Nothobranchius furzeri: one gene and its partner. The protein of the gene in region 2 binds, or shares a complex with, the protein of the main gene of each other region. Links are inferred from orthologs where the notes say so. Each region holds a gene or a part of one and is shown on either strand. Other genes may lie near its edges.

What was found.
Region 1: the proteins of ezh1 (region 2) and eed are in contact, whole or in part, in a cryo-EM structure (PDB 7KTP), measured with the Homo sapiens proteins. The link is inferred for Nothobranchius furzeri from reciprocal best matches to the Homo sapiens genes EZH1 and EED. Residues at the interface, in NP_001982.2 of Homo sapiens: Gly37, Ala38, Lys39, Leu41, Tyr42, Val43, Asn45, Phe46, Lys48, Val49, Gln50, Lys52, Thr53, Gln54, Leu56, Asn57, Glu59, Trp60, Leu63, Arg64, Val65, Gln66, Pro67, Val68, Gln69, Ser70, Met71, Cys83, Thr84, Ile85; in NP_003788.2 of Homo sapiens: Cys84, Val85, Asn86, Ser87, Leu88, Lys89, Glu90, Asp91, Trp103, His104, Ser105, Lys106, Glu107, Val112, Arg120, Leu123, Tyr124, Gln129, Gly130, Glu131, Ile132, Arg133, Leu134, Leu135, Gln136, Ser137, Tyr138, Val139, Asp140, Tyr154.

What each region holds. Positions count from the first base shown.
Region 1 is NC_091743.1:86,053,543-86,064,362, reverse strand, and holds eed (polycomb protein eed), read right to left. Parts: upstream 9,581-10,820; 5' UTR 9,512-9,580; coding exon 9,407-9,511; intron 8,906-9,406; coding exon 8,753-8,905; intron 8,655-8,752; coding exon 8,562-8,654; intron 8,245-8,561; coding exon 8,179-8,244; intron 7,052-8,178; coding exon 6,926-7,051; intron 6,850-6,925; coding exon 6,768-6,849; intron 6,625-6,767; coding exon 6,533-6,624; intron 5,215-6,532; coding exon 5,081-5,214; intron 4,994-5,080; coding exon 4,888-4,993; intron 4,811-4,887; coding exon 4,652-4,810; intron 4,575-4,651; coding exon 4,501-4,574; intron 3,877-4,500; coding exon 3,750-3,876; 3' UTR 3,332-3,749; downstream 1-3,331. Other genes in the region: pwp2h (PWP2 small subunit processome component), read right to left, coding at 10,238-10,397, 10,493-10,567, 10,642-10,792. UniProt on the Homo sapiens protein: Polycomb group (PcG) protein. Component of the PRC2/EED-EZH2 complex, which methylates 'Lys-9' and 'Lys-27' of histone H3, leading to transcriptional repression of the affected target gene.
Region 2 is NC_091745.1:7,465,647-7,476,217, reverse strand, and holds the end of ezh1 (histone-lysine N-methyltransferase EZH1), read right to left. Parts: intron 8,696-10,571; coding exon 8,604-8,695; intron 5,889-8,603; coding exon 5,860-5,888; intron 5,772-5,859; coding exon 5,646-5,771; intron 4,671-5,645; coding exon 4,492-4,670; intron 4,409-4,491; coding exon 4,313-4,408; intron 4,232-4,312; coding exon 4,150-4,231; intron 4,074-4,149; coding exon 3,993-4,073; intron 3,918-3,992; coding exon 3,833-3,917; coding exon of another isoform or gene 3,829-3,832; exon of another isoform or gene 3,791-3,828; intron 3,688-3,790; coding exon 3,627-3,687; 3' UTR 2,747-3,626; downstream 1-2,746.

The DNA of each region.
Region 1 (10,820 bases), on a different chromosome or scaffold from region 2:
CTGTGGAGTGGCAGACCGGGGTGGTGGTCCCCATCTTTAAGAAGGGTGACCTGAGGGTGTGTTCCAACTATAGGGGGATCACACTCCTCAGCCTCCCTGGAAAGGTCTACTCCAAGGTACTGGAGAGGAGGGTCCGATCGATAGTTGAATCTCTGATTGAGGAGGAACAATGTGGTTTTCGTCCTGGCCGTGGAACTGTGGACCAGCTCTATACCCTTGCAAGGGCGATGGAGGGGGCATGGGAGTTTGCCCAACCATTCCACATGTGTTTTGTGGATTTGGAGAAGGCTTATGACCGTATCCCCAGGGGCACCCTGTGGGGGACACTCCAGGAGTATGGGGTGGGTGGCTTTCTGTTAAGGGCCATTCAGTCCCTTTACCAGAGGAGCGTGAGTTTGGTCCGCATAGCCGGTAGTAAGTCGGACCTGTTCCCGGTGAGGGTTGGACTCCGCCAGGGCTGCCCTTTGTCACCGGTTCTGTTCATTACCTTTATGGACAGAATTTCTAGGCGCTGCCGTGGTGTGGAGTGTGTCGCAGTGGCCGCAAACTCCCTAGTGTGCATGCAGCCTCTGAGTTCCCTGGTGCTCTAAACATTGAAAGAATAATTTAATTTTCTGTTCCTCTGTCACGAACAGAACTCAGAAGACCAGTAGTGACGCCAAACACAGTAAAGTTCCTTACAAGTCTTTATTAGATATGGCGTTACCGTAGAGGGCGAGGCAGGAGACAGAGTCGGAGAGGAGGTGAGGTGCAAAACCAGATCGGACAAGCAGGTACAGGGAACAGGCTGGAGACGAGGTAGAGGACAGGTGAGGGTCGTGATGGGAGGCAGAGTACAAGGCAGGGGTCAGGCGAGAAAACGAGGTCCGGAGACTGAGACGAGGCAGGGTGAATGGCTGGAAGATTTACTAGCAAATGGCGTTCAATAATCTGGCAGTGACTGGATAGCTGGATGGTTCTTATAAAGCAGGAGGAACAGGTGAGATGAATGGAGTAGATGAGGTGCAGGCTGAGGTTGCTAGGGAAACAGGGCTTGGCTGGAGCTTGATGAGGGGACCAGGTGTGCTGCATGAAGGCTGAAAGATTGGGAGTCATGACATCCTCACTCTGTGTAATGACCACCCTCGGTGGTGTCTGTTTGTTGCAAACACCAGGTACAAATAGCGCCCAAAACGGCAGCACATAAGCTGTCTCAGCAAAACACTGAACGTCCACCGGATTAAGAAAAAAGAAAGCAGCTGTCTCTCAGCAGGACCATCCGAGAGAAAAAAATTAAACCAATATTTCACAAAGACGCACTGAAAGTGGCTTTATTCTTGCCATGGCCCTCGAAATGCCTAATGGTCTTACGAGGGTAGGGTATTACGTACTTATAAATTATTGCCTTAGAAAGTAAAAACGTGTAGTGGGATAAATCTACCTAAATGAACCTTTTCAAACACTGTTTTGTTTTTTATTTGACTATTTTTCTGTCCTGTCTATCATCTTCCTGCATCTCCTCTCAATCCCAAAGAAAAACTGCTACCTGGCTTCATGTTTTCACCTCAGCGATCTACCAACCATAAAAATAGCAGAGTGCGCGCAGTGCGCCGGCTCTGCGCCTCTCAGCTCAAAATAATCCCCGGAGAGTCTGCATAAATAATGTAATATAAGTAGAACCAGGATATTTTTCAGGCTCCCCCTGGGTGTGTAAGTCGATGGCTTCCAGGGGAGCCCATAGATATGTGTATAAACACGTGTTTATATACATATCTATGGGGGAGCCTGTCACCCTTTATGGGTCAGCCAGGCTCCCTTCAGCTCACTCGTAATTTGAACCCTGCGCACACGTTGGTCGCGTGAGGTGCCGGTGTAATGTCGATGTGTTCACCCCTCGAGATCTGTTTCTTTTGCACCCAGCAGCAAGTGGAAACGACCCAATCACAAAAATAACCCTCACCCTTACCCTAACCCCGGCACCAGAAATGTATGTTTTGCATAAATATAGTTTTTGAAAATATGTGTAGCACAGTTTTTATGTTTATTCAGAGTTACGGTTAGGATAAGGGTTGGGGTAAGGGTTAGGACACATTTTTTGAGAGTGGATGGTTCTAACTCGCAGCTGGGTGCAAAAGAAATGAGTAGAACCTGGCTGCAGACATCAGACGGCGTGTCACCGGAAGAACTTTCTAGCGAGAACAAGATGGCGTGTCATTACTTTTACCGGAAAATCGACGAGCGAAAGACCTCGGCCGGAAGTTGGTCTTTTTTGGTGGCCGCTTTTGTTTCAACAAAACTCGGCGAGTTTCAAAGAGGAAAGGTAAGGATGAAATTAACTAATTGTTGTAACCGTTTAGTTCTTAAAAGTAGGCACTATAGCATTTAAAGCTTCACCAGAGAATTGTAATTGTATCAATATTAACATGCAGTCTTAAAACTAATGCAGGGAGTTCACAAGCTAACACAAAAGCTACATATATAAAGCAGTCAGCAATTGTAGCTTAGCTTTAACTTAGCTATTTGATTTTTCTGGTCTCCGTTTGTTAAAACAGTTAAAGTAATAATATTAACTTTATACATAATTTAGATGTGATATAAAGACATGGACGTAAATTTGGGGGGTGGGGGGGTGGGCATGTCCCCCCCACTTTTTCCAAAGTCAAGCTTTGACCCCTGCACTTTCCACCATCCAAAAACAATATTACGCTATATTTAATTGACACTGGTTGAGCTCTAGGACCAAGCAGAAAACAACCATTTGTGTTGAAGCCTGTTTCCTATTAGAACATACTGTAAAGATACACCCCCCCCCCCCCACACACACACACACACACACACACACACTTCTAAAGTGAAAATTACGTCCATGTATAAAGACCACGATTCTAATACTGACTTGACTGAAACGTTAATACCCTTTTTTCTTAATTAAAAAAACGTAGATTTTCAGAAATTTGTAAGTGGTTTCAATCACTAGTTTTCATACAAGCTAGATAGCTTCCGATTCGGGAAATGGCTAATACACACAATTTTTCTCTATTCTGACCATTTTTAATCTGCTCTAGCTCAAATACTACAACACGTACACTCTTCAAACCTGTTCTAGATTATTCTAGGCTTGTAGCAGAATGCATAAAAATAGCTTGATTTGTGAAACCTTTCTCTTATTTGTGAAAGTTAAAAAGACAGATTTATGAATTTATTTTTCAGCATCTGGCCCACACGAACTGGTCCTGTGCATCCAAAAATTACACGTTATCCCACTACACATTTTTAATTTAAACAGATCTTTGAGATATTGACTTTTTTCTTCTAAGTGGTAAAAATGAGCTTCCATAAAAATTGAATCCTACACATTTACAAAAAACTTTTATTGACAACTCATAGAAGGAAGATGCCAAAAACACTAAATGTAAGCAGTTATGTTTTGTGTGGAAAATAAAAGCAGACGAGACGGTAAAACAGACAAGAAAAAACGTAAAAATATGAAGCTTGACACAGTGCAAGAAAAAAAATTGATAGCTTTGCCTCTTTGAGAAACTTGAATTCAAATTGTGTTCCTCGACTTATTTTATTTCCTGTAAATAAATTATAAAAGGCACACAAAGGAAATTACCAATAATTGTATTTTTTATTTTAAAACATCCATTGTTGTTGGATAAAATCTTTCTTTGGTGCATCTTTTACAGAAAAGACAAATGTTTTTTTTTTCCTGCAATGTGTCAGGGAACAGGAGCAACAGGAAACACGTTTCTCTTGGTTCACTATCCTCAGCGCTGCCGGTCCCAACGCCAGATGGATGCATCGTCGCACACGGCGATGAGGATGCTGCTGTCGCGGCTGAAGCTGGTCTGTCTGATGGCTGAGGTGCATTTAGGGAAGGTCAGCGTGGTGCACCTGAAGAGCAACAAACCAGATGGTTCCATGAACATACATATCTCTACATGTATGAGATTCCAGGACGTTTGTGACTCTTCTTAAAAGCAGCCATGTCCTTTAATAACCCTAAACTGTTGGTCTGTTCTCGATCCAGGTCCCAGCTGTCGTCAGCTGAGATATCTCAACTCCAACAGCGTATTTATTTTAGAAGAACCGGTCAGAAAAAGGAGATTCCATTTAGAATGAAAGACTGATCATCTCAGGTCGCTGACGTTCCAGTTGTGATGACCTAATTCTCTTTCCTCCATCGCATGAATCAGCATGGTGTCCGCCAGTAATAACCGTCCTCGTCAAGCATCAGATGATCTTTTTGATGGTGTGTTGCTTTATTATTGGGTCACTAAAACTTTATATTATCAATGAAACTCTGAAATGTTTGAAGAACTTTGGATAATTAGTTTTAAAGACTTCATTTAAAATTTTTGACACGTTTAAGCCTCCAGACCAGTCACACCTCCAACTTCCTGTTACTCTCAAAGCTGAAAAACATCTCTTAACTCATCCAAAATCAAACACCAGCGTGTAAGTAAATCTCCTTAGCGTGAGTGAACGGAGGAACGCGTCTGATAAAAGGAGACTTACTTTGCTTTGTGAGGATCTTCCACCTCCAGGTCCCAAACGTAAAGCTTCCCCACCTGGTTCCCCAGAGCCAGCATCTGTGTGATCACACGCTCATCCAGTAAACACATCCTCCACTAATACCGACGCACCAACAGACGAAAAGCTCCTCCACCTTCTGCCAGAAGTCCATGGAGAACCTCATGTACCAAATGTCACACTGGCTGTAGTCGAACCGCCCCAGAATCGTCACGTTTGACTCATTGGGTTTGATGTGGTCGACGTCGTCCTCCATCTTCCCTGGTTTCCAGCAGACGATGGCGTTTTCACAGGACTGCAGAAAGAAAAACCAGCGTCAAGTTTGGAGTCTACATCGGCTGTTACCAGCAGACTAAACTTAATTCCTCTTGCCTTTGAGAGAATCAGATCTCCCAGCCACCGAACACAGTCCACGTAGTTCCTGTGGATGTCTCGCGTTGAAAAGTCGGGGAAGTGAATCTTCTGCGAGACAAACGGCCTGAAGAGGTGATTTGATTTATTTAATTAATTATCGAGACTATTTTAACGACACGCCACCAACAACAACACAGGAGGGCCCCCTCACCTGTTTGTCTTCGAGGGGTTGTACTCGTATGAGCCGCGAATCGCTTTCTGCATTCGCTCGGAGTCGATCCTCCAGAGCTTCAGCGAGTGGTCCATCCCACAGGACATGATCTTCTCACCCAGCAGATCAAAATCCTGACGCATGAAAACAAGAGATTCTTGTTACAATTCCTGGAAGTAAAATTCATCAGATCCTACGAAATGAACAAAAGACAAAACTCTATTTAACAAAAACGGTTTTCAGCTCCAGCAGAAGAAAATCTCCATCTTGGATCACTAACAATCACTTCAGTGCACCTTGATTTTTTTATTTTTCCATCAATCAGGTTCCAGGTGTCTTCATTAGCCGTCACATTTCAGGGCAAACATCTTGTTCATATAATATTTAGGTCATTTATGCACAATCTAAACTGTGCAAGTCCACCAAAAACATTTCAAATGGACATTTTAAGACCGACTTTGAACAGAAAGTCTTATTTTAAAAGAAAACATAACAATAATGACTGGAATCCAGGTCAAACCTGGCAGAAATGTAGTAATATTTCTGCTGAGACCAACTACAGCCTACAGGTTTATGAAATAATGCTGTGATTTGTGTTTAGTGCAATTTTAGCTTGATCTTTATTATTGTTTAATATAGGGCTGCACAATATATCGTAAATATATCGTTATCGCGATATCATGATGCACAATATGCATATCGCAAAGAACAGATAAATATCGCAATGAACGGTCAGCTCAAATGTTTTCTACACAATTTATTCTGTCAGTCAAACGGAAGCATGATGTTTTTTTAACACATCAAATAGAGCTCTGCACCCATTTGGCCAATCGGGTGGGTTCTCATAGGTCAGATGACCGCCCCTGAGGCGGACGGCACTTAATTGTGCTGGTTAGCAAACACCTGACTTAGCTTTGCTCTGCTCTTTTTGCTGATTCCGGTTTTCCCGGGATCCACGGATTCCCTTTTCTTTTTCCCTTTCCTCACATCTTTTGCTTTTCTCATTTTTATCAGTTTTTTGTTTCTTTGTTTTTGATTATTTTTATTCCTGAGTTAAGTTTTTATTTATCGCAAGTAATATCGTCATCGCAATATTAATCACTGTTATCGAATATCGCAGGTTTTCCTAATATCATGCAGCCCTAGTTTGATCAATTTTTAATGTTTCATTGTTCTTGTGGTGCGCCTGACTTTTATTTTGAAAAGCACCGCATTAAAAAAAACTGTTAGTGTACCTAGCCGTTAGCTCATCAATCCTAAAGGAAATAACCCTCTTCTCTGAACTGAGGCTGAATACTGACCCATTTTATATAAAACAAACCTCAAAAATACTTTAAAAAAATAAAATAAAAATAAGTCAAAATCAGCATCAACAAAAAGTGCAAACCGTGTTTTCTGTTCCGATTAAAATCTGACAGTTTAAATTGTGATCAAATGTAATGAAACACCTACAGCGCTCAGGACTTCGTCTCGATGGCCTTCTACACCTCCAAATATGGCCACCAGTGTATCCGTCTGGATGTTCCACAGACGAAGAGCGTGATCTAAAGAAAATTTCAAATGTTACAAATCATCATTTATTCATTTTCACACAAGTAAGCTTTTACTAAAAACACTGAATCTGTCAGGGAAAAGATCCAGGAGCATCTGGAGGCGTGTCGATGACCATCACCATCAGGGGCTTTACCTTTGCTGACAGACAGGAGAAGATTCGGATCCCTTGGGTGAAACTTGAGCTCGTTGATGGCGTTCCCGTGACCCACGTAGTGCTGGATGGGAAACAAACACACTACTAAATGACCCTCAAAGCCACATTTTCAAAGAGGTTCTCTACAGGAAGACTACCTTGATGCACTGCATTGTGATGTGATTGATGACCCGAATGATGCCGCGGGACCCGGCTACAGCCAACAGCGGGTGGCTGGTGTTGGTGTCATAGGTCCAAGCACACGTGTAGAAGTTCTCATCTGCCTTGGAACGCGTTCAGTCAAGAAAATCGCAGAAATCAAAAAGTTTCTGACATTTCTGCAGCTACTGATCAACTCTTGGGTCTTTCCAAAATAGATGTTGAGAAAAAGATGATTAACCCTTTAGGCGCCATAGTTTTTTCAGTAAAATATAAGTTTTTCATATCACTACTTAAAGAGCTTGTAGCTTAAATCTGGTTAGAGATAGAGGAATATTGTAAATTAGAAAAATCTTCAGTATGAGCCAAATTTTGTGATAGGAACAAATTCACTCACACAATTTTCATACTATGACATCATCAGATAGCAGCCATATTGGATTGCATCACATTTGCGGATTTGTTTGTCTTATTTTCTTAGTGTTGTTATTGTTTATGATACATATATGTGTACATAGGAATATGTATATAACTATGTATGTGTATATATATATATATATATACATATATATACACATATTACTTTATTGGTATTTTGTTATGTTTACTGCGTATCAATCAAGAACACTGTTTTTGGTGCTTCAGTGTCATGAACACATTTCACTCATCCCTTCTTTAATTATAGTTTATTTGGTTTATAATTGTTATATATATATATACACACACACACACACACACATGGTTACTATAATGGTTAGTTTTACCAAACTCACAGGACACACCCACTCTCTCAGGAAGAAAGCTTTGGTCATGCGTCAAAAACATGTGAAGTTATGTTTATCTGAACTCTGTTAGCTGGATAAGGTGAACTTGACCTCCTTTGCTGAACACATCTTTTACTGTCATCATAATCATTATTATTATACACACATTTATATAGCTAGATAGATGATAGCTAGATAGATGATAGATATAGATAGATAATAGAGGATAGCTGATAGACAGGGGCTGAATTGATCACCAGCAGAGTTTTCAACGGCCCGATCACCGCCACCACATTCCCCATGCATGAGGGCTCATTTCTGCTGCTGTGGCTTATTAAATCCAACATTGCTGCTTGTCGCAATTCTGCGACTTTGGCGCTTAAAGGGTTAACATATCTGTAAATCTTCATTTACTGATCTGTATCTAAATTAAAGAACAACAGATTCCTTTTTGTGAAGTTTAGTTTGAGCCAAAGCAGGAAGGATACATCTGCATCAACGTACGACTGCAACAGTCGGATCTCTCCCTGAGAGTGGCATTCATACAAGGTTACCTGTTAGAGAAATCAGAAATATCATTTATGTAAAACTAAATGTTTTTCACAACAAGAAATGTGTATTTTTAATGAAAAAAGTCCTGAATAATCATCATTCTTTAAAATTTGTCAAATCTCTTATTTTCTGTAACAGTAAATTAAGGACACTTGAAGCAGCTTATCAGACACAAAAGGACGTCTGATTGCTTGAAAGGCATCACCATCTTTCTATCATGCAAGATATGGAACTGATGAGCAGAAAATTGATTCTGAACTAGAAAAATTCATGAAAACACCCAGAAAAAGCCAAATAAAATCTGTCTGCTTGGGGTTACCCTGTTACTCCCGACTGTGGCGAACACCAGTGGGTCTCCTTCCTTACTGTGCCAGTTAAACTGGACTCCAAACAGTGGCTGGCCATGGTCCTCCTGAAAAATATCCACAAAGTTTCACTCCCACTTCACCTGTAAACTAAATTCTGTAAATGATGATATTTGAATGTATTTAGAACAGCAGACATTCTCACTCTTAAACTGTTAACACATTTAAAAGAATATCTGCACTTCTTGGACTTCCACTTGCCCTTGCCCCAGCTCTTCCTGCCTGGGGCATTGGCGGTGTTGGTGGGGGTGTCTGGACGCTCAGTGTTGGTCCCACTTTCAACACTGACCGCATCATCCTGTAAACCAGAGATGCGGTTACTGAAAGACAAGATGTCCAAAACAAAACACCCAACCTAACCACATTCATTTTATTGGACAAGTACCAGTAAACCTAGGCTTTATTTGGACAGAAATAAGTGAAACAAATGTTTGAAGCACTTTTAACATGAAAAACAGACTACCAGCAAGTTTTTCCTTTCCTCAAAATGAAAAATAAACATTATAAACTGCATTTGAACACTTATTTTAGGAATTTGTAAATAAATACAAGCTTCTAAATCACTCCTGCTGAAGCTAAATCGAACAAGCCAGGCTTTTTGAGGTTAAATATAAAAGCCCATGCTTCTGTGGGTCACATAGACTGATTTAGAGCCATTACCACCATCAGAACCACAGCTGCAGGTGAACAAAGATGCCAGCTAGCTAAGCTCTTTAGCTTTCCGGCTTCTTGCTTTAGCGCTGAGCTAACCGGCTAAAACGTTCACTTGTAGTTGCAGAAATGTTTATAGAGCTCTTACGTTCTCGTCTCCTGACAAATCGGGGTTGCTGTTCTCGTCACTGCTTAGTTTTTGTTTTTTGGCCGGTAATTCTTTTCCCGCTTCAGACAGGCTCTTGTCTCTCATTTTAGCTCCGAAGGCTAACCCGCCCGCTGTTCCTTCTTCTTCAATCTAATTTAAGGCAAGGTGAACTTTCAGAAGGCGCTCTGTCACCCCCTGTTGGTCACGTTTAGTTACTGACGGAGAAGCTTCCACTTTTTGAGTTTTCTGCTTTATTTCACTTTGGACAGGATTCAGATCGGTTTAAAAATAGTAAATCCCGTGTTTTTTTTAACTCCCTAAACAACCTATTTGTTAAAAAGAATACATTCTGCTCTTAAATTGTACATTTAAATGTCTAACACAGTAACTTGGGACATTTCAAGGCAATATTTCCACATTCTTCAGCTGTAAAAATGTATTTTTTCCTTGAAAATGTCGTACTATTTACCTTTGTTAGTATTAAATAAAAATAATATTTTAGATTTGTTCTTTTATATTTCTAGAAATACTTCTTTTGACTTAATACTGCCCAGCAAAGCTAGTTTTAACCACAAATGGCAATTCAGTCTTTAAGTGTAAATTTCTAATATAAGTAAGAAATAACTCCAAAAATATTTTTTGCGTGCCAAATTGAAAGATTAACCCGTAGCAGCCTCTCAAATGAATAAATTTACCAGAAAAAAGCCAAAAACAAGAAAGACACTTTTACTGAATTTATTATAAAAACAGGCTATTTTAATATTTAAAGTATGGAAAAATGGACTTTTACAGTTGAACATCTGTCAATCTGAGACATTTTTAGTAATCAGACTACAAGATCATCTCTGAGTCATCTAAAGAGGCTTCGCTCATCTCCTCCGACAACCCTTCATCCTGCTCTTCTTTCTCCTCCTCCTCGGCAGGCCTCTTTACACACTTCTGCTTTGAAAGCGCCACAGCGTAACGGATGTTGTACATGTTGAAGTTGCAGCTGTGGAAAAAAAATATATATAAATATATATATTTAATGACTTAATGCTTCATTTTAGTTATGATGATTAATGGAGCAACAGTGTTGAGACGTACAGCTTTGACAGGTTGTCAAAGTGTCTCTGGATGCTCTTCTGAAGCGCCTGCAGCGTGGGCAGAACCGAGCCAGACCTGCGGACCATAAGAGATCCAGTTAAGACACTGATGATGATAATGATGATGCGAGTCGAGGCAGCCGTGTCGACCTGTTCTTTAGTTTCTGTCCGTGCAGCATCAGCAGGTTCTGGGCCCAGGTCATGTAGAACTGCAGGTGACCTGACTTCTCCAGACAATCGGCCACGAAGCCCAGGAGCTTCTCCACGTAGACGTCGGGCAGAGAGCCACAGACCACCGGGACTGAAACACAAACTCAGTCAGGCGTCAG
Region 2 (10,571 bases):
AGCCTGACGGCTCCCCGAACCTCTGGTGTCCACCAGTCGGTATGGGGGTTGCCACCACGACTGGCACCGGCCACCTTGCGACCACAGCTAGCGACAGCCGCCTCAACAATCGCAGAGTGGAACAAGGCCCACTCAGAGTCAATGTCCCCCACTGCTCTCAGGATGTGGACAAAGCTCTGCCAGATGTGGGAGTTGAAGACCGTCTTAACAGGTTCTTCAAGGGAAGTAAATACTCTAATTTTACAGTCAAGCTGCCACCGGCTTGGTGCTACAGAGTGTTTGACTCAGCAAATATCCAATGACAAAATAATTTTAAAAAATCTGTCCTTCCACAATCCTTTCATCTTCCTTGTGGGACAGATATCAGGGAACAGCTGCTCCTTATGGCCATATGGAAAGCAAACATATGAACACACACACAACAAGAACAACATTTGTACAGTGGACCACAATAATGTAAATTCTTACTTCTGACACTGCTAGAATAATGTTGCTCAACACTGCAGCTGACCACATTATCATTGCTGCTGCTGCTGCTTGGTGAGCTAGCTGCTTACAGAGAAAAAATAATATTAAACACATTGTATAAGATTTCTGTCACTGGTGACACAAAATGTCCTTTAGTGTGTGTAGCAACCAAAGCCTCGAGCTATCAATCGCTGCAGCTCTACTTAACACTAAAGACCTGTTGTGTGTGTGTGTGTGTGTGTGTGTGTGTGTGTGTGTGTGTGTGTGTGTGTGTGTGAGACAAACTGCTGACGAAGAAATACATTTGCGACATGTTAGCTATGCATACGTAGAGCATGACCGCACTTAGCAGAAACATGCAATAAGCTTTAATGAGCTTCTTCCAGTCACTAACTGTGAATGTCTCTCTCTTCATTTGCATACAGGAGGTGATACCGTGAATAACGTGTTGAAAGACTTTTGATGTTTAGGGTTTTTACACTTGCTTTGAATGTAAACTCTGACTCCGTCTGAGCAGACCTGCCGATGTTTTTGTTCTCGATGAAAGAAAAGCTTTTTAGATCGCTCAGGTTAAAGGAAGCGCAGCACCTGCTCTCTGTAGACCTAACCACCTCCAGAACATGGTTGGTTTCCCTCCATTACAGATGGGCAGGACTGTGTAAAATGGTTCAGTGAGAGGATGTACAGAAACTGTAAAAACACAAAGTTGCTAATAATGTATGAACCTGTAGAGATTTCAAAACTTGCATTTTCAGGACATATTTTTGGAAATGTGATGAATGAAAGTCTAATATGGAGCAAACAGAAAGAAATCACTGTTTTGTGTGTATAGCACAGAATGTTCTATGTTTTCAAAAAAATTCAACAAACTTGATTTGCTGCCACTTAGCAAAGAAAATCACGTGCTTATGATATGAACTCATCTCACTGGATCTTTCTTATGATTTTTCAGCACAGCAGTGTCCCATTATTTATGCCTCTCATGATAATTGTGGTCCCTGGAGTTTGTGTGACTGGACTTCCCAATGTTTGTGTGTTTTATTGTTTCCTCATCAACATGCAACCATAAGATGTTAAAAGTGCAGTTGAGGCCAGTTCTTCAGTGGTATTGTGGTGCACCGACACTAGTAGAGTGAGACGTGGCTAGCCAGCAAGAAGTTTGCTCTGACAGGGTGTCTGCTACTTGAGGCTTCCTGCACTTACGTTTAACTGAACAACATACAGTATGTGTAAGATTAAACACAAAACTTTCATTATACTTTGGGCTTATTTGTTCTGTTTTACAAATATTAAAGTAGTAAACAATAAGTGAACTTTTACTCTTTCAGCATTGACAGAGGTCATAGGTCACCAGAGGGAGCAGCAGAATTAGTCTCAGCATCACCAGACAATACAAGCAAGCAGAGTTTTGTTTCTGAACATATTCAGATCTTATTTTTCTGTCGGTTTTGTAATAATTTCACTGTAAATGACCATTACTGTGTAAATCAACTCAAATCTAAACCGTCATCTGAATTAAAAGACGCTTGAAGGAAGCAGGTGTTGTGTTTGGAGGTGATGTACTGGTTCCGCAGTTGGGGTCGTAAGGCAAGTTTGAGGTAAAATAACCAGAAATAAACTTAAGATTATAGTGTGTTTTCACTATAATTTATGTACAGGGTATCTGCAGGTTTAAGGGAGCCAAATTTAAGACTTTTAAGACCTTTTTAAGGCCACTTTGACGAAATGTAAGCAATTTTTTAAAATTTCATTTAAGCTATAATTTCCAGCTAATGCCTGGAACAGGTGCTAACCATGTTGCAAATGTGGGATTAGCCATCCAGTTACCATTAAACTTGCACTTCCCCATGATGCAAGCTCCCACTAGCTTAACCAGCTAATGTGCTCATCTAAAAACAGCCCCCTTTCACAATCAACTGAATGTGTACAGTTCCGCTTACGCCAACATCATACACAAAAAATGCTGAACACTAACTAGAAATTCACAAAAATTTTATAGAAATAAAAATATCTTGTTTATTGGGTCTTTGGTAATTTAAGATCTTTGGAAACCGTATTTAAGGATTATTTGTAATTTTTAAGGATTTTTAAGGCCTTAAATTTGGAAAAGCAAATTTAAGACTTTTTAAGACTTTTTAAGGACCGGCGGATACCCTGTATGTAACAGCCTAAGATAATCTCCATAAATAGCAGTAAATACTTCAGGAGTATGCATGGATGTAAAGACTATCCTCACGCTTTGGCTCCATCCAGCACATAAGAACACAGACAGCATTAATATCATATAAAGTTAAACCTTTATTTTTATGAGCATACACTGTACACAGCAATAAACTTCATTGTGTTCAGCTCCATGAGAACTTTTATTTTGAAGGTAGTGAGCCATTTGTTTTATAACTGAACAACAGTGTGGACAATAATGTGGGTCTGAAATTATAGACATGATAAATGAATGTTTCACATGATGCGACGCCCATATTTGGTCAAACACTCATAATCATACATCACTATTGTTATAACCTTGACATGGAAACCAAGCTACATTTCACATGCAAGTTTATTTAGCATATACGTGAGGAATTATTTGGCACTTTTTAATTCGATTTTAAAGGAAGACAATTAATCTGAGACTAATTTATTTACCATTAATTTGCCTGGTAATGTGTGATAATATTCACATGATGCTAAATATTTCAGATATACACATTTCTTTAAGTACCAATAATGTAAAAAAAAAAAACAAAAAAAAAAACAATGAGTCATCAACACGTTACATTCAGTCAGTCGGTTTCTCATCGGGTTACCTGTAATTTTTTGATAATTTTTGCAAAACGCTGACGTAAATGCACATTTTTTTTAAACCCACATAGATGTGGTTGTGATGCTAGCTGCTGTACATATTCATTGAGAAACAAACCAAGCTGTCAAACCTGGACACGCTTTTTTCTGAAGACCAATCAGGGTGCAACATCATCTAGAATGCCGGGTGCATGAGAGGAGCGTCTGACTGAAGCTACTGCGGCAGCTAACGCATGAAACTGATATCCGTGTCCAAAGACAGCATATGCATTTCACTGATCAGCATGATGAATGCAGTAAAAGCTTGCATAATGACAGAGATGAGGAACAAAAGCCAGGTTGTAAGTACAGCAGCAAAGCTAAGACAAGTCCACCTCCCTCTCGATTCCGACGTACTTGAGGGCATCGGCTTGGCTGTATCTGTGGGGGAGGAACATTAAGGAGAAAATTAGTAAAATACACAACTAAAAGCCACTAAATAAACAATATGTAGTGGCTTTGTTTTCCTTTTTTTAAAATTTACTTGTAAGCTGATGGAGAGTCACAAAAAGGCCCGTGACTCTACCTGTAGTCAAAGAAGAGCTCTTCTCCTTGCAGGATAGCTCGTTTGGCGAATATTCCAATCCGGTGGTCTCCGTTAACCATCACGACTGGGACAGTAATAAACAAAACATCAGCTCACACAACTCTTTGGAAAACGCTGAATCCAAATCAAACCAAGTCACCTTTAGCGTAGCAGTTGGGATTCACAGAATGGTTCGCAAAACGGATTTTGTTACCCTTTCGAGTGGCGTCCACAACAAAATCTAAAGGGACACAACGGGATTCTGTCAACACGCTGAACCTGTTTGCCTGTGGAAAGCTATAGAAACACAAACTTACCATTGTTTAAGTTGAAAAGGAAGCTGGACATGTATTTGTCGTAGATCCTTCCACGTCGGTCTGCTTCATCCTGAGAGATCAGCTGCTCAGAAAAAAAAGAAGAGAAGAATTAACTTTGCACAAGCTCTGTGACCCATTTGAATAAAGGTCAAAGTGAACATGCCTCTCCACAGTATTCAGAGATGAATTCATTCTTCTGAACAGGCTCTTTGATGAATGTTCCCCACCCTGCTACATCTGATGGAGCCAGCAACAAGTGCTAGAAGATAAATCAGATTGTTTCCCACCAGCTCCCACCTTCCACACTCTCACCATATCAGATCGAGGAATGTTCAGACTAACCTTTTTTAGGCCTCTCTGGATGCTGCAGTTCTTACAGGAAACCACTTTGCTGTCCCAGTGGTCTGCAGCTCCGCAGGTCATGCACAGGTCGGGGTCGCACTCTCTCACGGCCAGGTAGCACGGACACTGCTTTGTGTTGCACTGAGTCTTGCATCTGCAGCCTGGGAAGCGGTTCTGGCCTGAAAACCAGTTCACAGACAGGAAGTACAAAGTTTAAATGTACACTGTAAAATAAAACATAACAGCTGGAACGTCTGAATCTAGCAGCTGCAGCATGTGAGCGACGGTAAGTGGGTGGGCTACGCTGATGGACTCATCAGTCATGAGACCTCTGCTGGCAGATATGCCCAAATGCAATTTTGAAAACTGTAACATAACACCCTCTGGGCAGATGAAGCCAAAGCTTAAGCAAAAGTGATCCGAAATCTCTTCCCAGAAGCTTCTACGTAAAAGGAAATTGTCCATAACAAGAAGTCCAGACAGCTCCGTGGTTCCTTTAAATCCCAACTCCTCCTAGCCTCTGTGGGTTTCGTGTCTGTCTTGTCGAGCTTTGTTCCGCTGGAGCAGTTTGACTCATACTGATGATGCTGCATTTCTGCCACAGAGCTTGTGACATCTCTTTGATTTCTCTCCAAGCCTTTAAAGCGCACACATGTGGAAATGAGCACAGCTTCCTGTTTGGCCCGGGCGCTCCTCTGCTACGGGAAAAGGTGTGGTAATAATGAGGAGATGGAGGAGGGGAGTAGGTGACCGAACCACAACATGAAGAAAATTTGAGCCTAAAACCTTCTTTCAGCCACATGTTTACTTCATGTTCTGCTTTGTCTGGACTGATATCTTTCCAGAGAGCTAAATAAAAAAACAACAAGTTCCTTCCACCATGTGGCCATTTCAGAAAACACTATTTTGCCGCAGAAGATGTGTCTCGTTTCAGGTGCAGCTCTGTGATAAACACCTATGCCCACGAGATGACAGCTTCTATTCTGCTGCAGAAACACATTCCAGCCTGCAGCTCTGATCCACGCCGACCCAGTAAAGAGGTCTTTTAAACGGCTTTCAGGGAATAAAATAAATGTCACAACGACCCAGAAAGAAAACAGTTGATGTGAGACAACCTGATTTCACAAGGAGCTGGAGAGAAAGGTGACACTCACACTCGTGCTCACACTGACAGAACTTCTCACAAAAATTCTGGGTCATCACACACGGGCAGGAGCTGTCACACGGGTGGTCAGGGTGGTCACATGGCTGATAGTTGTACACCTGATTGGACGAGTTATCTGGAGCAACAAAGGACAAAACCCCCCAAAACAAGACTGTGAGCTGTAATGTGTGTGCCAGTTGGCAGCTGTGATTTTTGTATAATACCTTTTTTTAGCTGGATCTTTGCCCACAATCTGAAACGGTAAACAAGGAAAAATACACATGTTTACTTAATTAGAGCCTCTCCAGATGTCTGCAGAGATGCTAAATTCTTGTCAATTATTAGGAAACAGTTCTACAAGAAACAAAAACAAAACAAAACAAACTATATATATATATATATATATATATATATATATATATATATATATGTATATATATATATATATATATATATATATATATATATATATAAAGGTCCTTCAAAAAAACAGCATATTGTGATAAAGTTCATTATTTTCTGTAATGTACTGATAAACATTAGATTTTCATATATTTCAAGCCTTTTATTGTTTCTAATATTGATGATTTTGGCATACTGCTCATGAAAACCCAAAATTCCTATCTCAAAAAATTGGCATATCATGAAAAGGTTCTCTAAACGAGCTATTAACATAATCATCTGAATCAACTAATTAACTCTAAACACCTGCAAAAGATTCCCGAGGCTTTTAAAAACTCCCAGCCTGGTTCATTACTCAAAACCGCAATTATGGGTAAGACTGCCGACCTGACTGCTGTCCAGAAGGGCATCATTGACACCCTCAAGCAAGAGGGTAAGGCCCTGTCCACACGTAGCCGGGGATCTGCCAAAACGTAGATATTTTTCTACGTTTTGGCCTGTCATCCACATGAAAACGGAGTTTTTTCACACAAAAACGGATCTTTTTAAAAACTCCGGCCAAAGTGAAGATCTGCGTTTTCTCCGTTTTGGGTGTCTGCGTGTGGACAAACAAAACCGGAGTTGTAAGGTCCGCAACGTCACTTTCCGCGACAAAAAAATGCTGACATCACGTGTGCGACCTGTGTTTACACTAGCCGACAGCATGGATGCCCTCAGAGCTACGCTCGCTTTATCAATTGTCCAAGCGCTTTTTGCTTGTTTGTTTTTGCAAGTGGAATTACTGCTCCTTGCGGAAGACCACAGACGAAGGACGAGGTTAAGAACGGGGGAAGTACTGCCGCCTACAGGTCTGGCATGTCCTTAACAACGTATTTATCCGGGTACGTGTGGACAGTTTTTTTTTTAAACGAGGTGGTGTGGATGCAAGTTTTTGGAGGGGCTGATATTCGTTTTTAAAAAAACCCAGCTACGTGTGGACTAGGCCAAAGACACAGAAAGAAATTTCTGAATAAATAGGCTGTTCCCAGAGTGCTGTATCAAGGCACCTCAGTGGGAAGTCTGTGGGAAGGAAAAAGAGTGGCAGAAAACGCTGCACAACGAGAAGAGGTGGGCCTGTGGAAGCAGTGGATTGAGTCTGGAGTAGAAACATCCAGAGCCACCGTGTACAGGCGTGTGCAGGAAATGGGCTACAGGTGCTGCATTCCCCAGGTCAAGCCACTTTTGAACCAGAAACAGCGGCAGAAGTGCCTGACCTGGGCTACAGAGAAGCAGCACTGGACTGTTGCTCAGTGGTCCAAAGTACTTTTTTCAGATGAAAGCAAATTTTGCATGTCATTCGGAAATCAAGGTGCCAGAGTCTGGAGGAAGACTGGGCAGAGGGAAATGCCAAAATGCCTGAAGTCCAGTGTCAAGTACCCACAGTCAGTGATGGTCTGGGTGCCATGTCAGCTGCTGGTGTTGGTCCACTGTGTTTTATCAAGGGCAGGGCCAATGCAGCTAGCTATCAGGAGATTTTGAAGCACTTCATGCTTCCATCTGCTGAAAAGCTTTATGGAGATGAAGATTTCACTTTTCAGCACGACCTGGCACCTGCTCACAGTGCCAAAACCACTGGTAAATGGTTTATTTACCATGGTATTACTGTGCTCAGTTGGCCTGCCAACTCTCCTGACCTGAACCCCATGGAGAATCTGTGGGATATTGTGAAGAGAAAGTTGAGAGACGCAAGACCCAACACTCTGGATGAGCTTAAGGCCGCTATCGAAGCATCCTGGGCCTCCATAACACCTCAGCAGAGCCACAGGCTGATTGCCTCCATGCCACGCCGCATTGAAGCAGTCACTTCTGCAAAAGGATTCCTGACCAAGTATTGAGTGCATAACTGAACATAATTATTAGAAGGTCGACTTTTATGTATTAAAAACACTTTTCTTTTATTGGTCAGATGAAATATGCTAATTTTTTGAGATAGGAATTTTGGGTTTTTATGAGCTGTACGCCAAAATCATCAATATTAGAAACAATAAAAGGCTTGAACTACTTCAGCTGTGTGTAATGAATCTAATATATATGAAAGTCTAATGTTTATCAGTACATTACAGAAAATACTGAACTTTATCACAATATGCAAAAAATTTTTGAAGGACCTATATATATATATATATATATATATATATATATATATATATATATATATATATATATATATATATATATATATATATATATCAAACAGCCTAGCCTCATCCACTGAAGAGAGCTAGCTTATATTTTTGATTTGTTGACAAATGACAGTTTTTAAATTTTTGGTTAAATGATGTGTATGATCTCTGGAGCAGAGTAACCCAGGTCAGATTATATCACACAAATAATCCAACAGCCTGTTTGGTGTTTACTAAGCCCACTTGGCTGGAATGGAAATTCAAGTTGGCTCCAAAGGTCAGTGAGTAGTGGATGAGCATCAAATGACTCCAGGCTGGGATCTGTCCAGTGGTTCACTCACAAGCTCAAGCAAACACATCGTTTCTACCGTTTCCATGCTGGGTGATAAAAGTCAGGATCTTGCCTGTGTTTTCTTTTCTTCTTTTGTGGCGAGATGCCTCCATCTTCCAAAGGGACGCGATGAATCAGAACCTCTTTTACAGCAAACTCGTACACCTGAGAGAGACATTACAAAAAAACATTGTTCAACTAACCGGTTGTGTAAAGCAACAACAAGGGGGCCACTGTTGCAGTTATGTTGTGCAATATCATGCAAGCTGCTATAAAAAAGTCTTCCCAAACATCCTGCCCCAGTCTATCTCCTGTCCAAGCTATGGTGAGGAAGCCAGACACAAGAGTGCATCTGTGTGGAGGGACACACACACACACACACACACACACACACACACACACACACGCGCGCGCACACACACACCCACACACACGCACACACACACACACACACACACACACACACACACATTCTTCTGGGACTGTTAAGGCCAGATGTTAACAACTGTGAATTTGGACAGTCTAGCCTTTAATAATAGGCCCACCCCTGTTCTGAGCACTCTTTGAATTTTGACAGTCTTTGTCGCGGCGCTGTGACGTCACTGGTCTTAAATTATGACCTCATGAGCACGCGACCCCTGAATTTGGACACAGCCATAGACTGCAGTTGCAAAAGAGACAATGAGTAGTTTTTACCATGAATCTCTGGAAATATCCATCAAAATGTTGTTGAAAAGAAATTAATGTATGCAGATTTGTTGAAAAATATTGGAAGCTTTGTAACATAAACCCAATAAAAAATCGGGTCTAAAATAAACAGGTCTAAGTCATTGGGCGACGTCCTATTAGATGTCATGTTTCTTCCTATGGGAGCCCGTGAGGACAAAATGCAGTTACTGATTTGTAAGAAACAGTTGGAAAACCTTTACCATTCGTAAATGTTGTTGTTTTACACATTTACCTCTTCGCTCTTTCCCTGTGATGAAAGGCAGTCTGGTGTGCTTGTCATTTTGCTGGAGGTTGCACTCCCAGGGATTTTGACCCTAATGGCCATCCGTTGGTAAAGTCTTACTCAAATACAAAAATACCTCTTGCCAGGGAAAATACACATTGTCCCTTTAATATTTGGTAGAACGGCGTATGCTTGTGCACTTATTTGTATAATATTATAAATGAATTTATCTGTACATTTGATAACTGAGTTTATCTGAAAAGCTGCTGATTTGGAGCGGGAAAATTAATGATCGGTTTGGAATTGGAACTGTTCATTTGAATACCTAAAATGGGACCAAGGAGGGACATCTTCTTCCAAAACACCACACCAGAAACTGTTTTCACCAGCTGCCTCTGCTGGACTGACACCAAACGGGGACTTTCTGAACACTTGCATCATGAGTAAATATGAGAAATGTAGCATCTGGTAAGACTCCCTGTTTACGGTGCCACATGCCAGACTCTCTCGGTCCAGACACACGTTCATTATCTACGTCATAAAACCACAAGCCCAACACGCATCTGTTGTTACACTAGCCCTGAATGACACAAACCCAGCAGAGAACATTTGCACAATCATGCCTCCTGCGTTGATTCAAAACAACTATGATTCAGTTTAAGAGCATCATACGTAGTTTAGGGATTAAAAGTGAAGAAATGAACTAACTGTTTGCAGACAAACAGGCTCGTCTCAGCCACAAAGATGGAAACAAGGATGTCTTCAGATACAGATCACAGGATGGGGACGGCTCTTGGCTACTTACGCACCAACTTTCAGCTGAATAGCTGTAAAAAATGACTGACTTAAGCCGTTTTTCTTAATGTTTATGTTGATAATCTGTGGCAGCAATACATAATTGGGTACACTCTAGAAGAAACACATCTAATTATTACATTCTGAGACTTTCATACAAATCTGTTAAGTGGTTTTTAGGGTAGTTTGTTGACAAGCGTTCTAAAAAGAATCTTTCCCATGATAAATTAGTTTTTTTAGTAATATATAGCAATATGTAAAACCACTTCTCTCGAAATAGTGCTTAGTATGGGT